2 linked regions of the Caenorhabditis elegans genome follow. The protein of the gene in region 1 interacts with the protein of each later gene in a biochemical or structural test. Each region holds a gene or a part of one and is shown on either strand. Other genes may lie near its edges.

Region 1 (12,774 bases):
GTACTAGTACGCATAAAACGAAAGGAAAAAGTGCCCGGCTTTCCTGTGAAAAGAATAAGAAAACTGACGAGGAAAATTGGAATTTCCCTCGATTGCGCAAGTGGCCAAAAACCGAGCAACAGAGTTTGGAATTTCGAATTTCGAAGCACTACATTCTCAGTCAGAACGCCTACTTTTCCTATTTTAAGACAAATGTGGGGAACTACAAAATGAAATATATTATACAAATTGACGTAAATATGAATGATGATAAAAATATTTGAAAAAAAAAAACTAACCGTTGTCAAACGATGACGTCTGCACGTAGTTGACGAGATGCGGATTTGCAGACGAGTTGATAACTGGAGGAGAAATATCTCGAATTGATTGCTTCAAATCACGAGAAATTGTACCTAGTGGTCCATAGAGATTGTTGGTCGACGAATTCGTGGACGACGGTTGATGGTAGCTTCGAGTGAGCGTGTTTCCGGAGCCGAGAGCCGGGTTACGGTGTCCCTGGAAAAAATTCCTTAAATTTTAACCGCCGCACAGCCTAGTATCTTGTGTATCCAACATCCAGCATTCCTTACCTGTACAAGACTGTTGCTGCTTGCCGAGTTCTGTGAGCTTCCGAGCAGATTTGGTGGCAACGAGTTTTGCGAATGGTATACCGGATGATGATGGTTGGAGCTGGACGATGATGCTCCCGAGAAGGAGGTTGGCGCGGCGGCAAACGACGCCGATTGTGGAATCTGCGGCAGATAGAGTTGCCGAACAAGAGTTGTTGATGTGGGACACTCACTGAAAAAAATGGGACATGTGATTAGGTAGAATTATTTGATTGGGGTGGAAGAATTTCACATTTTAAAATTTAAAATTAAATCGAGGTTGCTAAACCCTTAATTTTCCCAATTAAACCATCATAAAAGTTTGCTAAATTGGCTTGTAAGTTCGATTTATGCCAAATAGTGAAAGTGTACAATTTTCCCCCCGACTAGACTGAAAAACAATAAATGGGATGAATGAAAAATGTATCCCACTACAATGTAAAAATGCGTACCAAAAGACTAGCCCCACAGCTAATCTCAAAATCTGTAAAAACATCAAAAAACAACTCAGAAAAAGAAGAAAAAAAAAACACAATTTTGTAATACGTACAGTTAAGTAGAAGGGGCAGCGATTAACGAGAGGACATAGAGATAATCAGTCGGTAAGGGAAAAAAGTGTTTTTATCTAAAAATCAATGAATTTAGATCTAAAAAGTCGATTAAAAATTAGATCTTGATGGTGTAAAGAGGTGAAAGGGTTGAAGTACAACATCAGGTGATGGAGAATAATTACAAATGATGGATGATCTTTGAAAATTATTAGCAAAATAAAGGTACACGTGATAAGCGCCAAAAAAAAGCCATGCACATGAATCTGAAGACGTGTCTTCCTACTGTCGAAAATTTAGCTACAAAATGCAATGCAGCCGACACCTCACGGGATCAGAACAATGTGTGGAGGCTGCCAAAACTGCGGAACACGGAAAGTGTCGGGCGCTACTACTTGACCGTTGCTACAGCACCCGACACCTCACGGGCTCAGATAGAAAATATGTGGCTACGGGAAAACGACTATTTTCGGGTAATTTTGAACACAAATAAAAATTGAGGTCACTGAATTAAAAATTTAAAACTTGGATTAATCATCATTGAATAAATTAACTGAACAAATGAACACCTAATTCATTTCTCATTCATTCTCACTTTCTTTCCAGCCTCCTTCCACACCTTATTAGTCATGCGAAAAGAACGAGAAGCACCGTGAAAATCGGAGAAGAGAGTGAACGTTTCGGCTAATCTATTCCTCAGTGTGGTGGCCAATTCTCTCTCTCTTTATAAATCAATTGCCATCATCAACATTTTGCCCATTTTATTAATAGGTACGATGCCTTCTGGCGGCGTCGTTTTCACTTTCGCATGGAAACACAGGCAGGAGATCGACCAACGTTTGAATGGAAATTGAGAGAGACAGAGACATAGACGGTGAAAGAAAAGGCGTGATGGTAGAGGTACAACTGGTGTCAATTAAAACTTTTCAATGGTAATAAACTACACGGGGAGGGGGTATCGAGGTGTCCGATCTTTAAAGAGTGAGAAGGAGGGATAATGGTAGAAGTTCGAAAAATATTTTTTACAAAGTAGAAATCCCGAAGATTGGGGAGCATCGGGTCCTACCGGCAGTTTTGAACGAAGGACATAAGACGAGGGGAGGCATTTCCGGGTATATGGAGGCGTTTTCAGACCCCGAGACATGTCGCCCCGCCCTCGTATGTTAACTTATTTTGCAGTGAAACAAAAAAATTATCAAAAATCTTTCCCTGACCAAGTGTAATATAATCGTTCAGACTACAGATGTTCTGATTAGAAATATGTGGTTTGGCGCCGTTCCTTAATTCGAGCACCTGCCTGTCAAGTGATTCGAATGGCAAAAAAATATCAAGGCTTAACGAAACGAGGGGCCTAAAAATTCCGGTTTAAAAATTAGAAAGAATTGTAATTTTGTGCAACGCTGAATTCAATACAACAAATGTGACAAATTGCTCATAATGCCGTCGGAAATGTGAGGGGAGGGCGAAGAGGCGAATGAGAAGCGTCTCCGTGACGCCTTGGCTGGGCGGAATTCCCACTGTAAACTTTTCGTTCACAAATTCAAAAAAATATTCACAATCTCTATGGGAATTATATTTGAAAGCCTGCCAGTTTTCCAGATACTTAAATTTTTAACTAAACTTACTAACTTTTTAACTTTTTAACTATTTTTAAATAAAATTCAACGACTTTTACTATATGCAAAACCTCACCTCGAAACATCAGGAAGACTTGGAAGTTTTTTGAAATTTTTCTTAGAAATATTCGAATCAGTCAGCGAATTCTTCATATTTGCAAAGAGGAATGAGCCCTGCTTTTGCGCGCGCGAGGAAGAGCCGCCTCTTTCCAGAAGAAAATGAAGGAATGAATGAAGGCAGGGAGCGATAAAAGAGGAGATAGAATTTGTGTTGGAAACTACATTTACAGGCGATTATTGTGTAGTATTAAGTACAAATCTCACAGCTTTGTAAGAGTTTTGGGGCTCTCGAGAAGGAGGAGGAGGAGGACTTATAAGCTTATGCAATTTGATCAAAAGTGCTAAACTTGGCTGAAATTTCAGAATCAAGCAGGTTTGTAGTTGTTTTGTAGAACTAATTTTTGCAAATATTAAAAATTTTAATTTGAAAAAGTTAGATCGTTTCGGATCAAAAAAAATTTCTCCGAAATTTGTTAGTAAGTCAAAAACTAATAATTAAAACTGAGAATTAAAAAAAATTACAGTAAACTTTTTGATTTACAACTATTATAAAACCGTAGTTTAAAAATTGCAAACTGTGACATCTCGGAGAAAAGCCAAAAAAAAAATTGCAAAAACTGTATGTTTTTACAGCTCCAACCATTTTGGCAATAAATAGGACAAGTATTTATTTTTACTGAAAAACTGGAAATTTGGTCATTCACAATAGGAAGTAATTTCTAAAACTACAGAAAGTGCTAAACAACACACAAAGCCAGCTAGCGGAGGATCGTTGCGAGTTGACCAGGTAGATCAAAAACAAAAAAAAATTGTACATACATCTCAAGAATCTGTAGATCACTGTATACAATCATAAAAGGTATGGAAAGCCTCTCCTAACGACTAATGAAAAAGGGAATCCCTGTGAGAGAGGCGAAGAACGATGAAGAATAGAAAAGACGGGTTTTTTACGAGTTGTTTCCATCATGGCCCGGCGTGTGTGTTGCCTCGGTTGGTTTGATTACGATGCCTCATTTTCCCGACCGCAAGGTCCTCCTAGTCTCCACCATACAGGTAAAGAAAACAGAAAACACTACCGAATTAGTACTTGTAATTAAAATAAAAATGTGTGTGTGTGGGGATAGATAGGGGAACGCGAGAACCTTATCTGGGGGAGGGTGGGGAAAGCGGGACTGAAGACTAACACAAGTGATACAGAGAGACAAAGATCGGAAAGATTCGGTGCGGATTTTTGATGACCAACATTTGATACGGTACTTTTGTGAGGAACGCTTTTTTTTGGAAAAAAATATCGTAGTTTTCTGAAAACTTCAGCACAAGGTTTGGCGAATTGGCAAAATTTTTTGCAAACTTTGAATTTTTCAAACAGAACCTTCACAATGTTTAAAAAAATTAAAACTGAAAATTTGTAGAAAAACCCTTTCTTGGTCAATTTCTTGATGTATGGAAATTCAGGAAAAATAGTTTTCTGCAACATTTGTATCACAACGAACAAAATAAAATTTTTGCACATTTGCTCTTAGGCTTGCGAATTTTTCTTTTAACTAAATCTAACAAGATCAAAAAGTTCCATAATTATTTCGTTCAAGTGAACAAATCTCTTGACACTTAAAAATCTCTAAAATCAACCTGTTTTCAAGAAACCATAAAATGTTCGTTTTCTGTAAATTGTCTACTTTCAAGTACAATCTATCTCATTTTTCCTCTTCTCACACACATTGAAATCGTACTTCGAAGAACAATCAGAAAACGTCTTGAAATTGGATAGGGTTAAGGGGGCAAGCACAAAAGGAGTCATTAAAGTTCCATTTTCAAAAAGTGGAGGAAAAAACTTCTGATGAGAACATCATGACGTGCAACTAAATTCTCCCTTCCCGGATATTTTCCTATCATTTTTCTTCGAAGAGAGGGTAAAGGGAGAAAAAGGCCAAGGGAACACTGATTGACTCTTTGAGCATTTTTACACTTTGTGTGTCTCGTTTAAAATGTTGTTACATTCAAAATTGTGAGAAATCGACGAGAGATAGGATTTGAAAAATTGTTCAATTGAAGCATAAGTTTCTACTGAAAAGTCGCTTAAAATTGCAAGTGGCTGAGGAAGTGATTTGATTTTTTTAAAATTTTTTTTAACCAAAAAAATACCGACCTCTACGTCTACTATAAAATATGCGTAAACTTACATGAGGTGAACACTAAAGGCCAGAGTTCAACTTAAAATAAAGGAAATCAGCAAACAGTAGGCAGGCAGGCAGGCATAAGGATATACCTACCAACAATTTAACAATTTACATTACTCCCTTTCTATTGTGACTAGACAACGGGGCCGCCTTACTCAAACGCCAATGCCAATAAACTACGTTAGCTTAGGTCTAACTGTTTTGTTTTAGAGTATGTAAGCTTCAAGGTATTCTAAAACAGCTGTTTTCAGAAAATGAATGTTTTGAAACTATTAAAGTGGGAGAAAAACAAAATTTTTAACAAAAATGTATTGAATCCTGATTAAAATTGCAAAATCAAACAGGTCTGAATCAAAAAAGAAATGATTGACTGTGAATCTAATTGTGAAATCGCTGGTATACCATTCTTGGGTACTCTTGATGACAAATACTCCCCCCACTCCTCCTTTTTATTGAAAAGAAAACACCTCTTCATTGAATGAGAAGGGTTCTCGATCTCAATTTTCATTGATTTTTTTCCTTGTTCCGCCTTTAGATTTCTATTACAATAATACATTGTGATTTTCAAAACATGTTCCAATTTCCAACTAATTAGGCCCTTTACACCAGCTTTTCAACTAATCAGGTTAAGCATAAATGGACAAAAAACATCAAAAAGTTTTCTCAAGGACCCCACAGGGTGTAAAGTTTAATGGGATCCATATGGTGGTCAATGGGGGGGGGCTTTCAAGGAAAATAAATGACCGTCTGCTGCAGGCACGACTTTTGAATATTTCTAGAAATTTCCTTAAGAACTTCAAAGTAATTCGAAATTGCAATATTTTAAACTACATACGTTTAGTGGGAAAATTGAAGAAAAAATTTGAAGAGAAAAAGAATCAAAAGCTCACTGTGAAACTGATCTTCCTTGTGCATCCAGACTCATTACACTGCGATCTCGCTGACCCTGAAATGATTTTTTTTGAATTTTAGGAGCAATTTGTTTAGAATTTTATAATCCTAGTAGAACTATAATAACTAGTAATATCAAAAATGAACATTTAAGAAATCACACAAAAGTTCAGAAAAAAGTCAATATCTTTACTTTTTCAGAGGAGAAATTTAAAAATTTTCAAACTCCATTTCAATTTGAAACTATAATTACATGCACTACTAATAGAGGTATAGCACACCCACCTGTTGTGTAACATCAATCGGTTGTTGCCCGTAACTTCGACTGTTACGTGTGAACGAGGCAAGAGCAGCCATGCTTCAACTACTCTAGACTGCTGCAAGTTTGGGAGAGAATTCCTAAAAATTTTTTGTACTTTTTAATACAATTTGTGGTAGGGGGTAATAAGAGAGTTGACGACGAGTAGAGGGTAATCGGATCAAATACATTTTGTTATCAATGGGAGAAACACCTCACCGAACGTGGGGACAAGTTGGAGCAGATAAGAAAAAGGGGCAAATGATGTTGGAAGAGTCCGTTTTTCTCCCCCTGTTTCTCTTTTACTCTCTAGGAGGAATCCACCAAATTTTTTTTTTGCAGAAACTTGTGTTGTGTTGCGGGTTTGTGGAAGAGCATATGGGAATTGGAGACATAGAGTACGGAGCAACAAACGTTTTTTGAATGGTACACCTAACGGGGTGGAGAACGATGATAAATTGATAGGCAGGCAGTGGATGCTTGGAACGCATGGAGCAAAACTTTTTAGTGAACTTGCTTTGAAAATACAATATAATATAAAAACAAAATAGCGTGAAACTTATTATTAGTGAACCGAAATACGTTAGATGCACAATGACAACAGTGATAAGAAAACGAGATAACTAGATATTTACGCACTTTTAAAGTTCTTCTCCCCATTTTTACGACTAACAATTGGCTTATCAAGAGTCACGAGAGGAGCATCAGCTGGCACCGACCAAAATGGTTTTTTTTCAACTTCCCCTTGTAAGGGAAATTTCTGAACTTTTCCAAAACTTTCTTCCCATAATCTTTGCGCATTCCAAATGTTTTCAAAGCATGCCTTATGAAAACTTAATGCTAATAGTTTTTGATGTCTGATATAAAATGCAAAAATATGGATATCATATGATCAGCGGCAGGAAATATTAAAAAGGGGAGTCTAGAAATAAACAGGCTGAAATTTAAAAAATAGAAGTTAGGGAAGGCATAGAGGATAGGGACCAAGAATGGATAAGCTCAAGCCTAAACCCAAGCCTAAACCCAAGCCCAAACCCAAGCCTAAACTCAAACTTAAACCCAAGTCTAAACTCAAAGTTAAGCCCAAGCCTAAACCTGAGGCTAAACCTGAGCCTAAACCTGAGCCTAAACCTGAACCTAAACCCAAGCCTAAACCCAAGCCTAAACCCAAGCCTAAACCCAAGCCTAAACCCAAGCTTAAACCCAAGCCTAAACCCAAACTTAAACCCAAGCCTAACCCCAAGCCTCAAGCCTAAATCCAACCCTATCTTGAACCTTAGCCTAACACCAATCATAAACAAAAGCTTAAGCCCATAGCAAATCTAAAATCCTATAGCAACCTAAACCCTAGCCTAAGATTAAACCTGAGAATTCTCTCTTATTGAAGCTTAATTGTGTACAAATAACTTATCTGGCATTGGATTCCTGATTGTGAGACGGTTAACGAAATGTGCAAAAAGTGAGAAGAATTGAAAGTAATAAAATAATTGAACAAAGGCAATTTATTTTTATTTCATACCACGTGGATGACCGTGTAAGTTTATTTTGGGTTTCACGCAAAGTTACTTTTTGAAAAATTTTCCAATTAGCATAGTATGTAGACTCGAGGAAAATTGGCATATTTGCTTGGCAAAAGCAAGCCTAAATGAAAACCAGAGCTTCTGCTAAAATTAACTAAATATGTGGTAGGCAAGCACAAAAAAACTAAACCCAAGCCTGAATCCAATCCTAAACACAAGCCTAAACCCAAGCCTTAACACAAGCCTAACAAAGCCTAAACCGGTTTTACCCTGCCTAAACCGGTTTAACCTTTCACGTAAGTGTTTAAAATTTTTTCTCCAATTTTCAAAATTGAGTTGGTCCGAGGTAAGTAGGCATATTTGCCTGCCAACGAATGACTCGTACCTACCCCCAGCGTACAACAAGGCAGGAATGTAGGCCGTATTTTTTATTAACACATGGATGACTGCGTAAGTTTATTTTATGTTTCACTTAAATAACCTTTAAAATGTGTTTCCTATTAGAAAAATGAAATTAACTCGAGGCAGGTAGGCATATTTGACTGTATCGAGCCTACGGCCTATAAATCACTAGACAAGAACGCCTGAAAACCTTAAATTCTATCACGTGTAAAACCAAAAACCAAAGAAAAAACAGCAGCCTGGTAATTAGAAATTCAAAGAAAAAAAGCAAATGGATGAGCGAGAAAGAAGAGAAAAGTGTGAAAGATTCATAGGGATATGTGATGAAGGGTGGTTCGGCGGGGCGAAGGCGTATTCCCTCAGAGTGAAAGAATGGTATAGAACAAGAAGAAGAAGAAAAAAGTGCATTCGGGGTCATAGTAAATTGGGCGTGTTTGAGCAGGGTGAGTGAGGGGAAGAGACAAGAGAAAAGGGGGTACAAAAATGACTGGTATCGACGATTATAATCGAATGAATGAGAGTGTTTGTATCTGATGGAATATCTAGGTAAAGACGGGCGGAACCAATGGCACGGCATTTACGGACGGGAAGGGCCATTCGGACGGTGCGTGATTTATTTATTAGCATGGTAAGAGAACACCGGAATGGGTGTCTTAGTGAAGACAGAAACATGTAGGTAATAGAAATTGGAATTGAAAGTTTTAAAATTATTTCACTCTTCACCGACAATTTTGAAGCCCGGGAGCTTAGTTGATCGCTCAAAAAATTTCTAAATTGCATAGCTTACAAAATGCTATTTGTTTAGATTTTTTTTTCAAATGTCAGATTTTAGATCTTAAAATATCATTATTTTGAGATTATAAAAAACGTTACAGCTATATGTTAGTAAGTTAAGTAAGAGTTTCCAAACATAATTCAAAAATTTTTTGACTTTTGATAAGTTTCGAAAGAAAACTTCCACATTTTGAAACGTCCACATTATTTCAGAGTTTAAAAACTATATTTGCATTTCCAGAAAGAAAGTTCCAAAAGTTATGCGAAAATTTCATATGAGTGAGTCACTTTTCCCATACTATAACATATTCAAAACCTAGGGAGTACAAATGGGAGAATTCAAAATTGTGGTGAGATCTAGACTGAGATCTTTTCACCTGACTCTTTCAGGTGAAAACGACTGTCTGCCTACTAAGCCTTTAAGGCAACCTATGCCTACCTCCTGCATACATGCGCGAAAACTGTAAAAGTGCACGAGAAATTTTTTGTTTACATAGAAAATGTAAACTGGATGTATACCAAGGCAGATGCGTAGGCAGGTATGCACGCCTAAACATTTTCCTAAATTTTTATAGTATCTGAATTTCAATATCAAACATTTTAAACATAAATATCATTATGTTTAGAACCAATACCGTAATCTCAAATTTTCGTCCAAAATGCCAATTTTCGGATGAACTGAGCAAATATTGTGGAAGGGGAAATGATTAGGAAAAGAGCAGCCGCCATCAGTATGTTTGGCGCGGCTTCCCTTTAAGGAATTAGTCAAAAAAGGAGAATGTTACAATGAATGAAGTTGTTCCAGTGTTCGATCCTCGACATATTCTGAAAGCAAAAAAAAGTGATTGTCAAGAGATATTAAACTAAACAATAAGGAATTGACGGGTGGAATACGGAAGAAAAGTGGAGGATGAGAAGCGAATCATCCAACAACAAAAAAAACTGAAGGTCGAGTGGCAAAAAGAATTTATGAATAGAGAAAGAGGGGCGGAGTCGACCGAGCATGAGTTAATCGGTAAAGAATTGAGAAAATGCAGAGGAGAATGGGAGAAGCCTAATGGAATTGTAATAGTCCTCAAAAAATGTCTGATAAAGTTTCCAAGTTTTTAACAAGAATCAGTGAAAATTCAGCATAACAAAAAATTTACCTATAAAAAGTATAATTTTTTCTATCAACACTGCCTACTGCACTGCCTACTGCCTACTGCCTACTGCCTACTGCCTACTGCCTACTGCCTACCGCTACAAAAATGCCCACAGAATCTAGCTGAAGCAAAAAATTCTCTAACTTTGCTCAGTGGATTTCCCAGACTGCTTCTAGACTCCAGTGAATTCAAAAGTTCAGAAATTCTACAAAAAAAAAAGAATTTCAAAAGAAGCAACAAATCGGAACTGAAGTGTTCTTGAGCATTTTCCACCAAAAAAGGGAAAGACAGATTTTAGATTCCGGAAGATAAGAAGTGGTGGTGGTTGGGAGGAGGAGGGCATAACGAGGCAACATGCGTGAATGCATTTGAAAAGCCGAAAGAAAGCTTTGATGGGTTGAAATATGAAGCTTCTCCTTTTTTTCCATTCGAACAACATTTGTTGATGTCGTAATTGTTGGGATAGAGGAGGTCGTAAGAAAGGCGAGAAGAAGCTGAGTGTATAGAGGAAAGGGTAAAACAATAACGGGTTGGGGGTAAAAAAAAAGACCTAGAATTACCAAATGTGTACTAGGAAAGTCAGGTTTCATACAAATGGTCAAGAAGGTTTGACGGGGGCTTCTTTCTTTTTGCAATTTATGAATTTTCAGATTTCATCTAGATCGAATTGCGACCTAGTTCTCTTGCAATTTTCAAACGGAAATTCTATTTCAGAATATAGAGCCGAAATCACTGTACTTTTCAAACAACAAAAACAAAATAATAGTTGATTTTATTAGAATTAAATTGGCAAGAAAAATTAGGAAACAAAAAAGGTCCATTAAGATGGTTGGTCTCTAGAAAACAATGTGTCTCGTTGTAAGGATTTGTAAAAATCTATTCAAAAAGGGTCCCACAGGAAAGATAAAAAATGAAGATACCTTTATAATAGAGCTAATATTTGAATGTATAGGTCATTGGGTTGTAAACATCTCTTTTTATGGGGTGAGTAGCGATGTCTTGGCAGCTAAATGTATCTCCCTTCAAAGAAAATATGAGATTATGAGAGTAATTGAGATTATGAGAAAAATGTGTCCTGTAGGTATTCTTAAACAATTTGATTGCTAGGTTTTTTTTAATTGACTATATAAAAGGAATAAGGACAAGTTATCCGTAAATTTTTTTTCTGAAAATGTAGAAATTTCCTAGTCGCTATCCTAGAAAAAGTAAATATTAGCTAAATGTTATAACTGTTTTGTCATTTTGTGCATGCAGACTTTTTTGGAAAACTGAACAACTTGAAACGTCATCAAACAAAAATTTTGACAGAAATTTAGTTAATTTATGTTTTTAAGAATTTTTATTAACTTACCATTAAACCTGATAAATTTTTCAGAGATACAACATATTTTTGTATAAATTTTCACGAAAAATGAACTTTTTTCGAAATTGCCAAAAAAGCACCAAAAATGTTCAAAACCCCAAAAACCACAAATTTTATGACGTTCTCGATAGTTGACAAAAACATTCCAAAAATGACAGAAAAGCTACAAAATGACAACTGAATGATTCGTTTGAATGGGCGAAAAGACAGAGAGAATTTGCCTCATGAAAATCTGAGAAAAGTGTGTGGCGGGGGACCCCTAGTCAGTGTCAGATATTTTCGGTTTTGCTCAAGACGAATGGCCCCGTGGGGGAATCTTGTAGAGAAGGAGGGATCGAAAAGGAGATGCTTTCACACATACACCCCTTCAAACGAAAATCGAATCATGACTACAACAAAGGAACTAAAATTCACGGGATTCTTGCTTCTTTCAGATATCTGCGTACGTATAACTAGGTCACATTGTAAATCGAAAATCAAAATCCAAAACTTTTTGGTTTCTAAACTTCACTGTTACTCTATCTCGTTTAGGTATTTTTCTAGTTTCCTGCATTAAAGTTATTTAAGTTATAAATTTTAAAGTCGAACAATGCTCTAAAACTATCACTCTTTGCGAAAAACAAGTCTGAACATTCTACACTTTAATATTTTTGTTTATAATTTTTCTAAGAACTCCTCTGGTTTTCTGGAATTTCACATATATTTAGAGACTAGAAGATGGAAAAAAAGAAAAAAAAAACAACAAAGTGGACCCTTGTCACGCGAACTTGTATGAGAAAAACTGAGAAAGAAACCAGTGGTAAGAGTAAGAAAACAAATAAATACCACACAAAACTCTTGTCCACCATTCTCAAAAAAATCACAAATTTTTAGAGCGGGGGAGGTAGGGGGGGACATTACTTTTGTACTATTCCTGAAAAAATGTGTCATCCTGATGGTATATGCAATTGATAGTACCAATATTTCAATGAGACACGATTTTTTCCGGTTTTCATGGAAGTTTGCGAGTTTTTGATTCTCCTAAACTTATGAAATTTTGGGTTACAGTATCTAAAAAATAATTAGCATTAGAAAAAAATTACGAAAAAATCATGAAAAATTCAAAAATTTTAAAAGCCTAGAGGAGCCTGTTCAAAAATTTCTGAAAGCATTGAGTCAAATGCCTGAAGTGAAAGATTTTTATTGGAAAATTGGTTGAGGTCATGGGAAAATGAAAAAATTACAAACAATACCAACAGGTATAAGAGAAATTGATTCAAAAACTCGGAAAGCCAAGAAAAAAATCTGAACTCTATGAGTAAAACACCTAAATTTACAGTTTTGCCCAAACAAAATAAGTTGAAGTAAAAAAAATATTAGGAAAAATTACGAAAAAACCCTTTAGAAAGAAGGA
Region 2 (12,449 bases), on another chromosome or scaffold:
GTTTCCATTTGAATTCTGTAACTGAAAATTTGAAAATTTGAATATAAAGTTTGTTGAAAAATTGAAACAACATGCAAAATCAGAAAAAGCAAATTGTCAGTGATAAGGCTTCCAACAAAAAAAAATAAAGTAGAAACAACTGCTGGTTTCACTTTTTTTATTATTATCGGTTTATTCATTAATCGATACGTGGAAAATCAAAACATTTACTACTATGATTATTTGACAAAAACAAAATTTCAGTTTGTTTTGGTTTCATTCGCCATGCTCAACAGAACACTCCATCAAAAAGAATACAGTTATAATCAAAGAGCAAACATAAAATGCTTATGATGAAAACACAAATGGCTCAAGTTTTTTTTTGCTTAAAAAAGTAACATAAACCGAAATCAGACAGACCCTAAACATATAATAAACGAAACAAAAAATTTATCAGGAATACCCTCTCTGAAAGCGATAAAAAGTAATAGAGCAACTTACACTGCAAAAAGTGGTGTTGGTGATAACATTTTACTGTCTTCCTGGTCTGTAATAATAAGCGAAAACGACGATGGATTTTCTGCTAGGAAAATCTTGATCCGAGAAAAAAGTGTGTGTATTTGTGAGTTTGTGCTTCGTTTTTGCTTTCAATTATTGTGGATGGAAGATGGAAGACAATTTATTTCTTTTTTGAGTGCAAGTCTAGAAACTGAAGTCGCGAACTATATATAAAACTATATGTTCTAGCAGGATTACATTAAAATTTTAATTTTAAAATTTTATTTCTCAGATTTTGTCTCTACATATGAAATATTATGGAATAATAAAAACATTTTTAAAATCCTATTTCAAAGGTTAGAATTCATAAAATACCTCACTATCAGAAAATATTACATTTATTTTTTTAAAAATATTTTTTCCCACACTTTTAATTTTTTCTAGGAAATATCATTCATTTTCCAAATTATTTGATCGTTAGAAATACATGCCTATATGAAATAATTCTCATTACTTCAGTTAGAATTCGGAACGTTTTTCGCTTAAAAATGCAGCACTAACTTGTAAGTTCTGTTATTTTTCTTTACATTTTTTTGAATTCAATTGTGTTTTTGTGTTTTTTTTTTGCAGTAACTGCTTGAAGTTTGAGAAAAATATTAGGTTTAACTTAATCAAAACCAAATAAAGAATTTTCTAAACCTTAAAATTTTGTGTTTTGATACAATTAGCCCAAACATTTTAACATCAAGTATTTCCGTTTAATTAAATATTTTTGAACCGACATTTGATCTTATGAACACTGTTCTCCGTAGTTGTTCTCTGCTTCAGCGCCCGAAAAAAAAGAAAAGATGTCAGTTGGTTTAATCAAATGTGGCAGTTGCTAATCACTTGGTAGCCACAATGACTCGAACCTTATCTTTTTTTTTTCAACTGAATTTATCAAAATATCAAATCTACTAGTATAAGCTGTTCGAAAATGATTAACCGACATTGTTATATGCATTTTAAAACTTAAAATATTGTTAATTCTAAAATCAAAATTTTAAAACTAATTTAAAAAAAAAACTTACTGGTGGTTTTAAAATTAGTAACTCAACTTAATCGAATTTTAAGGAAAAGGGTTCACCAATCAAAATCATATAAAGAGAAGTGAATTTTGAATAATTTATTTCAATAGATGAGTTCAAATAATACCGGATGAACAAAAAAAATGTCTGGGCGGTAACCGAGGAAATGGGAATTTGATGAAATAAAAGTGTGAATCTGGCTGTTTGATTATTCGGATAAATATTCGATTCTATGGTAAGTTTGGGATAGCGAATTTAAATATATCTTCGAGCATTCATTGAGGATATTTTGAGAAATATAAATTAAAAAAAAACTATTTATGTTTCAAATTAGTTTCTGGAAACTTTATTGGAGCATTTAACGGTTCTGAAATTTATTTTAGTTTTTTAAAACATGATACCGGTTTTTCCAAAATTTATCGAAGCAGTAAGCAATTTTCAAATTGAAAAAAAAAACCGAAATTCTTTATAGAGTACAGTGGCTCTGAAAGAATCGTTAATAAAAATTATTTGTTCAAAAATTATGTATAGCAAAAACTGAATAATTGCCTTTTTGACAGTTAATAAACTCACTTCAAAAAACTTTCAATATGTTTTACTACATAAATGATATTTGGCAATTTCTGCACATTTTCCTTTTTTTTTAAACTAAATTTCATTCAAAAAATTTCCACAAAACAACAGTGTTTCATTGAAAAATGCTTTAAAACTATTTTAAAATTATAAAAGCGTTAGTATGTACAAAAACAACACGTATTTGTTTTTGAATCAGTTAGTTGAGTAGCTCTCATTTTAGACGCCTAGGGGTTTCCGTTGAGCTTTTGCAAACTTTTATCTATTTCAACCCACTATTGTAACCCTAATTTTCGTTTTAATTCTTATCCACGAAAGGTAGTAGTATGTTCAAGTCATCTTCTGATTTCACAATCGCAGAGTACTCTATTTTTAAACCAAATTCAAAAAGATTGATGTATCACTATTTATATTAATCATCAATGGTTAAAAATTTTGATTACTAGTCATCTGATAATTAATTGACAACATGACCTAAAAAGACAAAAATAAATATGATTTAATGACTCAATAAGTTGATCAGTTTGGATTTTGACCAATTGAACTATGGAGCTAACGTGCAGTCGAATAATTTCAGTTTTAACCACAATATGCTAATTTGGGACAGCAATATCCCCAAACTGCATAAAATCTGAAATAAAACTTAGAAAAAGATTTTATGAAATCCCTTGGCTAAAATAATACTGGATCACAAGAAAATTGGGAATTAGAGATTGGTGATGATCTTATTGAGTGCAGGTTTAAAACTTCATTTCAATTGATTCCACAGTTGGATGTACTTTGGCGGTTTCTTGTCCGTAGCCCCAGAGAAGTTTCCACATTTCGGAGCGGCTCTGAAACAACCAACATACTATTTTTCTTATTTATTTTTTCAATTCTCTCTTACCTCTTTGAATGGGATGATTCTACTTGCCGGCACACAAAAAGAGAAGCAGGCAGTGGTCAACGGGAAAACAACGAACTCAAAATCGGCAACTAGGCTTATGTCGAGATAGTGGTCTAGTTCTAGAAGGGCCTATAATCATACTTTCTGACACGGAATATGGTGCATGTTGACCTACCATGTTGACAACAAAGACACCGACGCCACAAACAAACCAAGGTGTTTCTGAAAAGATGAGACTGTCAGTTATTAAAATTTGCAAAATCAGATTGAAGAACAGGGTGCAGATGATGATAGGAGGAATCACGGAGATCGGCTGAAAAGTTTTACTCAAGAGAATACATATAAATCGTGTTAATGTATCTCACAGTTTTACTGGTGACAAAGTAGAATTGGTCCCAAACAAGCTCGAACTCCACTGGTGAAAAAAGTAGTGGAGATGCAGACGCAACTGAAAATACAACCATTATCTGCAGGATTCGGTAGTCGGAAACTACCTGTAATTGGTTAAAATATGGTGTTTTTTTTTGATGACACGTCAATCAAGTTTTGACCAACAGCACTACTCACAGGAACACGATCGTATTTAGCTTTCAATCGCATGAAGATCATGAACGATATGACGATGATTTGAAGAGTTGAAATCGCATGGAAAAGGAAGTTGGAGACGCGGAGGAGAATGTTAAGAGCTGATGAGTGGAAGTTTGGAGCAAACACAACTTCCTCAAACCATTCAAAATTGCCACAGATGATACCAAATTTTGAAAGAACTACCGAATTGATTGTGATGATCAGGGTCTAAACTATGTTTATTACTGTTTGAGGAATCAGACGAAATTGACTTACATTGATGAGAAAAAAGTATCTCACGAGATGTGGAACATAGAAGATTCCGTTACACTTGATTGCAACCATAAGGTACAATAAGGTAGCGATGAACCCAAAAGTATCCATGAATGAGATTAATATACCGAAGCATATAGCCAACATCATTTTGGGCAATGGAATGAGGAAATCAGCGCTACCATAGATGTGAAGCTCGGCAGTGCCCCGCTTTTTTCAGTTCCCTTGGGATAGTATGAGTTGCTAGGAGCAACTGAAAAATGAAGCACGGGTGATAATCACGGAGAGAAACAAATACTATGACAGGAGAATTCTGTCATTAAGAGTACATCAATTATTGTTGAGAAGAGTGCTGATGCTAGAAAAGTATAAACAAAATTAAATAAAAAAGAATCACATTTCTGAATAACTTTGAAAACTTGCAATTCATGATTTAGTAGCGAAAAATGATTGATCTTAGATATACATTTGAACAAAGCATAAATAAAATCATAAGAATTCATATACTCCCGAAATTTATGATTGGGATTTTTTTCAGAATCAAGACGACGTTCTAGGGATAATGTGTAGCTTGGTTACATTCAACCAATCTTCTGAAAAAGCCAGAAATTTTAATTTATGTACATGACTATTTTGAATACTGATACGTTTGCTTCATACCATCGATTTTGAAACAAATGTTTTTAAATATATTGTTACCAAACTCTGATCTTTTTTGTGTGATAAACGTGAATTTGTAGTGAAATAACTTTTAAAAAATTATGTGTTATATAAAAAGTTAAAGGCGGGTAGCTATAACGAACATGTATTGAAATTATAAAAACTTACAAAAATTATCAAAAATGAGGATTGTTTTTAGACTGCAGTGGCCCAACCAAATTTATTCGGCATTGATAAGTTTTCTGACTTTTAGACAAAAATCATTAAAAGGTTTTTTTTTAGTTTTAATCAAAATATAAAAATAATTGTTTGCTTTTTTATTCTTTATCTTTATCAGTCTTTCGTGCAAAGGTGCTTCCCGATTTATCTATTAATTTACGAGAATGGACAAAAATTTTTATAGTACTTTTTTTCTCATTTATTGTCCAAATTCAAAGTTTTATTTGCGTATTTCTAGCGTGATTCTTAAAGAGCAAAATAGTAGATCCACACAAAATTTGTTTTGACCTACACCTGCCCGCTCTTTTTTGTATTGTTTTGTCTGCGCGCCGCCACGTTTCGTCATGCTGCGCGTCTCTTCCCTCTCTTCTCTCATTTCATATCATTTCATTCAGTCTTCGTACCATTACTGGTGGACAGTGGTCCGCTCTCTTTTTCATCTGCAGTTATTGCGAAATCTTTTATTTTCTGTTGAATTTTTTTTTTGTTTTTAGCCAAATTCTTGTAATTTTTCCACAATAATTCCATTTTTAGAGATTGATTTCTTGAGCGGCGATGGATAATCGTGGTCATTTTTCTTCAAATGGGAATTTCCCACCGCAAGGATATCACCGACGTGAGCAGTCCCAAGAAGGAATGAGAATCGGGAATCATCACGGACCGTTTTCTTCGGGCAACATGCGTAGTATTGGAGGTAAAAAAAAATTAAAATTCAATAGATTTATTAAACTGGTTTTTTTTCAGGCTCAGCTCAAAACCAGCAGCAACGTCATTGGACAAACATGCTCAATGGCTCAAATAATGTTGAGAATTCTTGGGTGTGCTTCTCTGGAAACACGTCTCTTGCCGATGATCCAAATGTTCTCTCCAATTTCTCTGCGTTGGCACAACAAAGAGTTAACCATTTTGATACAATTGTGCAGGAAAGGGACAATAGGAATGCGAGTTTCCTGAATGGTTCAGCAGTTGGAAATAACCTGAACACTTCGTTTAGCGTTTTTGGCAACTTGCGAGGAGGAGACCAAGATCATCGAGTTCTTTCCGATCACACTGGAATTTACACTGGTTTGGGATCCACTGGACAAAACGCTGTTGGAACCGGGATAAGACTGGCCGCTGATGTCGCGAACGGCAATTTCTTGGAGCAGAGAGCACCTACTGCCATGGGACACAACCAAAGCTATTCTGCACTGAACCAGTCATTAGCACCAACACTCCTTGACCAATACAATCAGGCACTCCTCGACCAATACAATCAGTCTTCACAAATGGCTCAAGGACGAGGATATCCGGCTCCAAATATAGCTTACGGTCTTCAAAATGCCGGTTTTCCAGCTCCACAAATAGCTCATCGGCCGAATACTCAAAATGCAGATCCTCAAGCGATGAATATGAATAACCGTTTAAGAGATCATACCTTCCAGATGCCACATACAAACGCTCAAGTTCCAATGAGTTCTCTGCCAGGTCTATTTAATTTATCCATGAATCACGGCTCCGGGAATCAACAGTTCCAAATGAATCAAAGCTCATCAGGCCCTGCACCTCAGTTGCCTAATCTGTCGGAAAGCTTCCAGATGGCGCAAGGGAGCTCTCAAGTTACAATGAGTTCCAGACCAGCTCACTCCAACACTTCTATGAATCACAGCTCGAGGAACCAATACAACCACGTGGATCAACGCCCATCACGCCCTGCACCCCATTTGCCAACTCTGACAAAGGAAGAGGAAGCTTTCTTGGAGACTCCAGATTTTGAACAATTTGGAAGACAATTGTACAACTACTTGCTTCCGGGAATCCTTCCAAATGGTGCTGCAGACACTTTCAGTAAGTGGAATTTGTGTGTTTATGTGATTTAAAATCATTTTAGGTGACGCTCCCAAGCATCAGTTGCTGAAGCTGGCAAAAACACTGAAGCCGATGCTCTACGACTACTGGCGGAAGACGATGCAAATGCAGAATCGTGGAGCCAACATCAACATTATTCAGTGGATTATTGATTTCAACGCCAAGTTTGCTGCTCTCAACAGTTCAGTTGCCAAAGCCTCAAACTCATCGGATGTTCTCAATCAAACTCTTCCAACTGCGGCTGAGGTTTCGGATGTTGCCAGGTGCATACTCTGCCTGTTGTTTGTTTTCTATCCTACTTTTTTCAGAGAGGATGCTTCGACTTCACAGCCATCCAAAAGCCGATCCATGTACATTCGTCCCGCTGCCAGTCTTGATAATACCTTGGAGACACTTGATGAGAATTTGGATTCTTCACAAAGTCATGCCGGGCCAGTTCCAGCAGCTTCAACTAAGCCCAAAACACCATCCTTTGAGAAGATGATTAGATACAGTGGCATCAAAAAGCGAAGCACAATGGACATGGATAATTTTGTTCGTATGCTTGATGAAAAGATCAACTTTTCGCCTGAGCCAAGCACTTCAAGGTATGTTAACCATAATAAACGAATTCCGATGTACTATTATTTCTTTTCAGTGATATTGCCAGCTCTGTGAAAGGCTACATGTCTCAATCCTTCCTCCACCAACAAGATGACGAAGCTCCTGATTGCACCAAGAATGTTCATTCTGAAAGTGATTTGAAACAAGCTGAGCCACAAGAATCGGACAAGCAAAGGTGAGACTTGTGAACTTATATAAATAACAAGCAATTTTTTTTTCAGTGACAAGGAATTGCCAAGCAATGAATGAGACGTTGGACAATTGGTTCGCCTACAAGAACACACTTACTGTGCTGCCATTTTGTACCATAACAATTCTATTTTTACCATACTAACCAATTTCACAATTACAAATTATATTTTCCTGTGATTTTCATCAACCATCAACCCATCTTGTGCTGTATTTGTATCTCATAGTAGAAACCTCCCAGCAACTAATTTTGACTTTTGGCTCGCCTGCCAACATCAATCTTATTACCCAATTTTGTACCATAACACTCTCTATTTCTACCACACTAACCAATTTCACGATTAGAAATTCTTTTTCCTGTGATTTTCTTCAACCATCTTGTATTGTACTTGTATCTCATAGTGCTCAGTTTCAGTCTTACCGGTTTTCCAGTCACTGTCCAGTACAATTTCACCGACTATTGTTGTTTATTTCGATAAAAATATTTTGTTCTAAATGTTTGAAATTTGTTGTAAAAACTGGAAATTACTAATCCAAACATATATCTTTCAAAAACAAATACCCATTGAATTATTTTGGTTTATTTTAAAAGTCATACCGTTTTTCACATGATGAAGATATTGAGAAAACGAGTTCAGGTTTAATGGTAGGACAAACTTGTAAAGTTCAATTATGATGTGGCTTGATTCGGTGCATTTTTATATTTTTCAAGTGATCAACCTAAGACCTCATTTGATCAACGAATGCTCGTATTTAACTAGGTTAAGTAGATAAAAACGTGTGGATCACTTTTTTAGTTAAAAGTTTCTTGCTGAAACGTATAGCTTTTGGAGCATACTTATTGGAAAAGTCTAAATAGTCGCCGAAAAATTGAAAGCGAGTATTGGCCAGCACTGTTTTAAATAGTTCAACAGCAGAAAATTGCACACCAATAAGACTTCAGAGAATTTTATTTTGAGAAACTCTGAACTATGCAATTTTTTCTTGAAATCCCTACAACTCTAATTTCTGCATACTTTAAACTCTCAAACGCCAGAATTTCATAAGGTTTCTGAGAAATTTCAAACGATCACATTCGCCCTTTCACAGCTAACTTAGGTTTTCAAATTCAAAGAAAAAAATCATGCATAAATAAGAACCGTTCCATTTTTATCTGTTCCAGTTTACAATGGTAAAATCAATAATTCGCGTGTGCACTGTTTTCATCATATCCATCGTCACAGTTCCGTCACGCACTTGCTGCGTCTCTTCCCTCTCACTTTTCCTTCCGAGGCACTCCATTCAGTCTTCGTTCCATTACACGTGGACAGTGGTCCGCTCTCTGTTTCATCTGCAGTTGTTGCGAAATCTCTTTTTTTTCTTTTTTCTTAACATTTTTCTACAATTTTTCAATTTTTAGGTTTCCATTTGTTGCGCGGCAATGGAAAATTGTGATGATCTTTCATCGGATGAGAATCTCCCACCACCCGGAGATCACCGTCGCGAACAGTCCCAAGAAAGAGCGAGAGTCGGGAATCGTGATGAATCAGTTTCTTCGACCAACATGCGTAGTATTGGAGGTAAAAAAAAATAAATTTAGATTCACTATATTTATTAAACCGGTTTGTTACAGGTGCAGTTCACAACCAGCAGCAACTTTATTGGACAGACATGTACAATGGCTCAAATAATTTGGAGAATTTTTGGCTGTGCTTCTCTGGAAACACGTCTCTTGCCGATGATCCAACCGTTCAATCCGATTCATCCGCGTCCACACAAAGTAGAACTAACCAAAGTGGTACAATTGCACAGGAAACGGACAACAGGAATGCAAGCAATTTTCCGCCACGATCAACAACTCGGCGTGGACAGACATATGAATCGAGAGACGAGTCTCAAGGAGGACAGGCGCCCTCACATCAGAACCAGGTTCCAGGTGAGCCTCAAATCTAAACTTTGATTAGAAAATTATCTACGTTCACAGTGCATTACTTCAACAGTCGGGAGAATCATATATTCATGTTGTATGAAATTTTCTCTCTTTATTTCTTACTGAAGTACCGGGTAATAATTGAATGAAAATAAGTTATCAAAACATAACAAATTGATAAGGTTCCAATTTCTATTTATTTTTTATATGAAACATTTATCGGAAACATAAGTACAACTTCATTTATTCTTTGGCACTTCATATATTAATAAGCTAAATTGTTTCAGGTGTTGATCGCGATGAGTATGCAGGTGACCGGAGTAACGTTTCCATCAATCTACCATCCGTAGATCAGTGGCGCGAATACAGTTTTTCTGATAATTCGTTTCAAGGCGAAAGCCGGACTGTCCAACGGAGATCATCCCGGGCCACACATCGCGTCAAAAATCAATTTGGCAGCATTGGAGATGGGAGAACGAGCAATAATACGAGCCTCCAAGAGCCAGTGATTCAGGATACAAGAAATCGAAATCGCTCTGAATCTTCTTCCACCATGTCATCGCAATCACGAACAGAACATGCTCCAATTTTCCGGTTGCAATATAATTACCAAAGAGAGGCAGACAATAGATCTTCACGATTGGTTCAAATACAAGGACATTCGGCTCCAAATAATGCAAACGGTCTACAAAATACGGGCGGTCAAGCTCCAGACATTGGTCCTGAGGTCAATGGTCAGAGTTCCGATACTCGAGCAATGAACATGGGTAATCAGATGGCTCAAGGCGATTCCCACGTTCCAATGAATTTCGTACCAAGACCTTTGTCTAACGGTGTTCCCAGGCTTCACGGAGTTCCCAGGCTTGTAGACATGTACGATTATGAACTTGCTCAGAGGGCTCATGCACGAAGATATCCGACTTCAAATATGCCATACGGTTTTCCAAATGCCGGCTTTCAAGCTCCTCCACACATGGGTTTGTGGCCAAATAATCAAAATGCAGATACTCGAGCAATGAACATGGATAACCGTTCGAGAGATCGTACCTTCCAGATGCCTCCTGCAAACGCTCAAGTTCCAACGAGTTCTCTGTCAGGTCTATTCAATTCATCTATAAATCACGGCTCCGGGAATCAACAGTTCCAAATGGGACAGAGCTCATCAGGTTCTGCACCTCAATTGCCTGCTCTTCCGGAAAATTTCCTGATGGCTCATGCAAACTCTCAAATTCCAACGAGTTCTCTGTCAGGTCTTTTCAATGCAATGAATCACGGCTCCGGGAATCGAATGAACCACAGCTCATCAGGCCCTGCACCTCAGTTGCCCAATCTGCCGGAAAGCTTCCTGATGGCTCATGGAATTGGTCAAGTTGAAACAAGGTCCCCAGCAGGTCCCTCCAATTCCTCCATAAATCACGGCTCCGGGAATCAACAGTTCCCAGTTCAACAAAGCTCATCACGCCCTGCACCTCAGTTGCCCAATCTGCCGGAAAGCTTCTTGATGGCTCATGGACTCTCTCAAATTCAAACAAGTTCCACAGCAGGTCCCTCCAACTCATCTATGAATCACGGCTCCGGGAATCAACAGTTCCGAATGGGACAGAGCTCATCACGCCCTGCACCTCAGTTGCCCAGTCTGCAGGAAAGCTTCTTGATGGCTCATGGAATTGCTCAAGTTGAAACAAGTTCCACAGCAGGTCCCTCCAACTCATCTATGAATCACGGCTCCGGGAATCAACAGTTCCCAGTTCAACAAAGCTCATCACGTCCTGCACCTCATTTGCCTGATCTGATAAGGCAAGAGGAAGAATTTTTGAACACTCTGGAGTTTGAGCAATTTGCAAGGCGATTGTACAACGACCTACTTCCTGGAGTTGATCCAAATTATGATTCAGGCACATCAACCAGTAGGTGGAAAAATGTGTATTCTTTGATTTCAAATAATTTTAGGTGAGACTCCAGTGCTAAAGTTCTCAATAACACTAAAGGCGATGCTTTACGACTACTGGCGGACGATGGTGCAAATGCAGTATCGCGGAGCGAACATCAACTTCCTCCAATCCATTATTAACTTGAATGCCAGGTCTGCTGCTCTCAACAGCTCAAACGCCAGAGCCTCAGGCTCGGCGGATGTGCAGAATCAAACAGTGTCAGCGACGGTCGAAGGAGCAGATGATGCCAGGTACACACAGGAATCCAGTCCGATGCCTCGGCATTTTTTGGCACTCGCTGCATTAAAAAAAAGTTTGGTTATAATACACGCGTACCAATTAATTCTTTATCTGAGCCGAGCACATCAAAGTATTCCAATAAAAAAAGTACCAATTATAATTTTCAGTGCCAATGTCAACGCATTGAGCGACTTGCTGGCCCAATCTTTCCCACGCCAAGCAGAAGGAGAAGCTTCTCGTCGCAACGATATAGATCATCCCGAAGATGATCTGAACCAGGCTGATTCACCGAAATCAGACAATCAGAGGTAAGCGGGAAAAATAGTTAAATATCACATCTTTATAATTTCAGTGACAAGGATCCTCCCAGCAACTAATTTTGACTATTGGCTCAACTACAAACATCAATCTTACGACCCAATTTTGTACCATATCATTTCTTTCCAATTTTACCATTTCTAGTTGTTTTTCTGTGATTTTTTTCAACAAGCAGCCCAACTTGTATCGTACTTGTATCTCATAACAGGAACTTCTCAGCAGTTAATTTTGATCAATGGCTCGCCTACCAATAACAGCCTTATTACCCACTTTTTTACCATACCATTTCTTCTTACCATACTAACCAATTTTACGACTTCTAGTTTTTTCCTGTGATTTTTTTTTCAACAAGCAGCCCATCTTGTATTGTACTTGTATCTCATAGTGCTCAGTCTCAATTTTTTTCGGGTTCCTAGCCACTGTCAAGTATAACCTCACCGGTCGTTTTTATTGTTGTTTATTTTAATGCATACAATTATTTTTATTTATTTATTTATATTTATTCATCAGGCAACAATCACAATGACACAATTACGACAAAGCAGTGAAGTGAAGGAAAAAGGAATGAATAACTAGATATAAAATAATCATTTGGACCCGCAAGAGTCCGGTGACTAAGTATGAGGGGGGGAAGAGGGTAAAACATTGTCAACAAAAAGTTGACCGAGACGTTTTCCGAACAAAATTTC

The links.
Region 2: of the proteins of mbk-2 (region 1) and meg-1, one has a biochemical effect on the other in vitro, tested with the Caenorhabditis elegans proteins (one study listed by BioGRID).

The regions. Positions count from the first base shown.
Region 1 is NC_003282.8:13,002,620-13,015,393, reverse strand, and holds the start of mbk-2 (Dual specificity tyrosine-phosphorylation-regulated kinase mbk-2), read right to left. Parts: upstream 6,237-12,774; coding exon 6,165-6,236; intron 5,935-6,164; coding exon 5,879-5,934; intron 5,758-5,878; exon of another isoform or gene 5,737-5,757; intron 781-5,736; coding exon 570-780; intron 496-569; coding exon 279-495; intron 1-278. UniProt on the Caenorhabditis elegans protein: Required for oocyte-to-zygote transition in which it phosphorylates oocyte proteins, including mei-1, oma-1, oma-2, mex-5, and mex-6, modifying their activity and/or stability following meiosis.
Region 2 is NC_003284.9:13,922,442-13,934,890, reverse strand, and holds meg-1 (Protein meg-1), read left to right. Parts: upstream 1-5,256; 5' UTR 5,257-5,277; coding exon 5,278-5,416; intron 5,417-5,466; coding exon 5,467-6,549; intron 6,550-6,592; coding exon 6,593-6,833; intron 6,834-6,878; coding exon 6,879-7,157; intron 7,158-7,207; coding exon 7,208-7,348; intron 7,349-7,394; coding exon 7,395-7,422; 3' UTR 7,423-7,855; downstream 7,856-12,449. Other genes in the region: Transcription factor elt-3, read right to left, coding at 1-8; Protein meg-2, read left to right, coding at 8,783-8,921, 8,975-9,277, 9,559-11,178, 11,222-11,453, 11,610-11,750, 11,795-11,819. UniProt on the Caenorhabditis elegans protein: P granule component, which acts redundantly with P granule component meg-2 to promote P granule segregation during embryogenesis, and germ cell proliferation and differentiation in larval stages.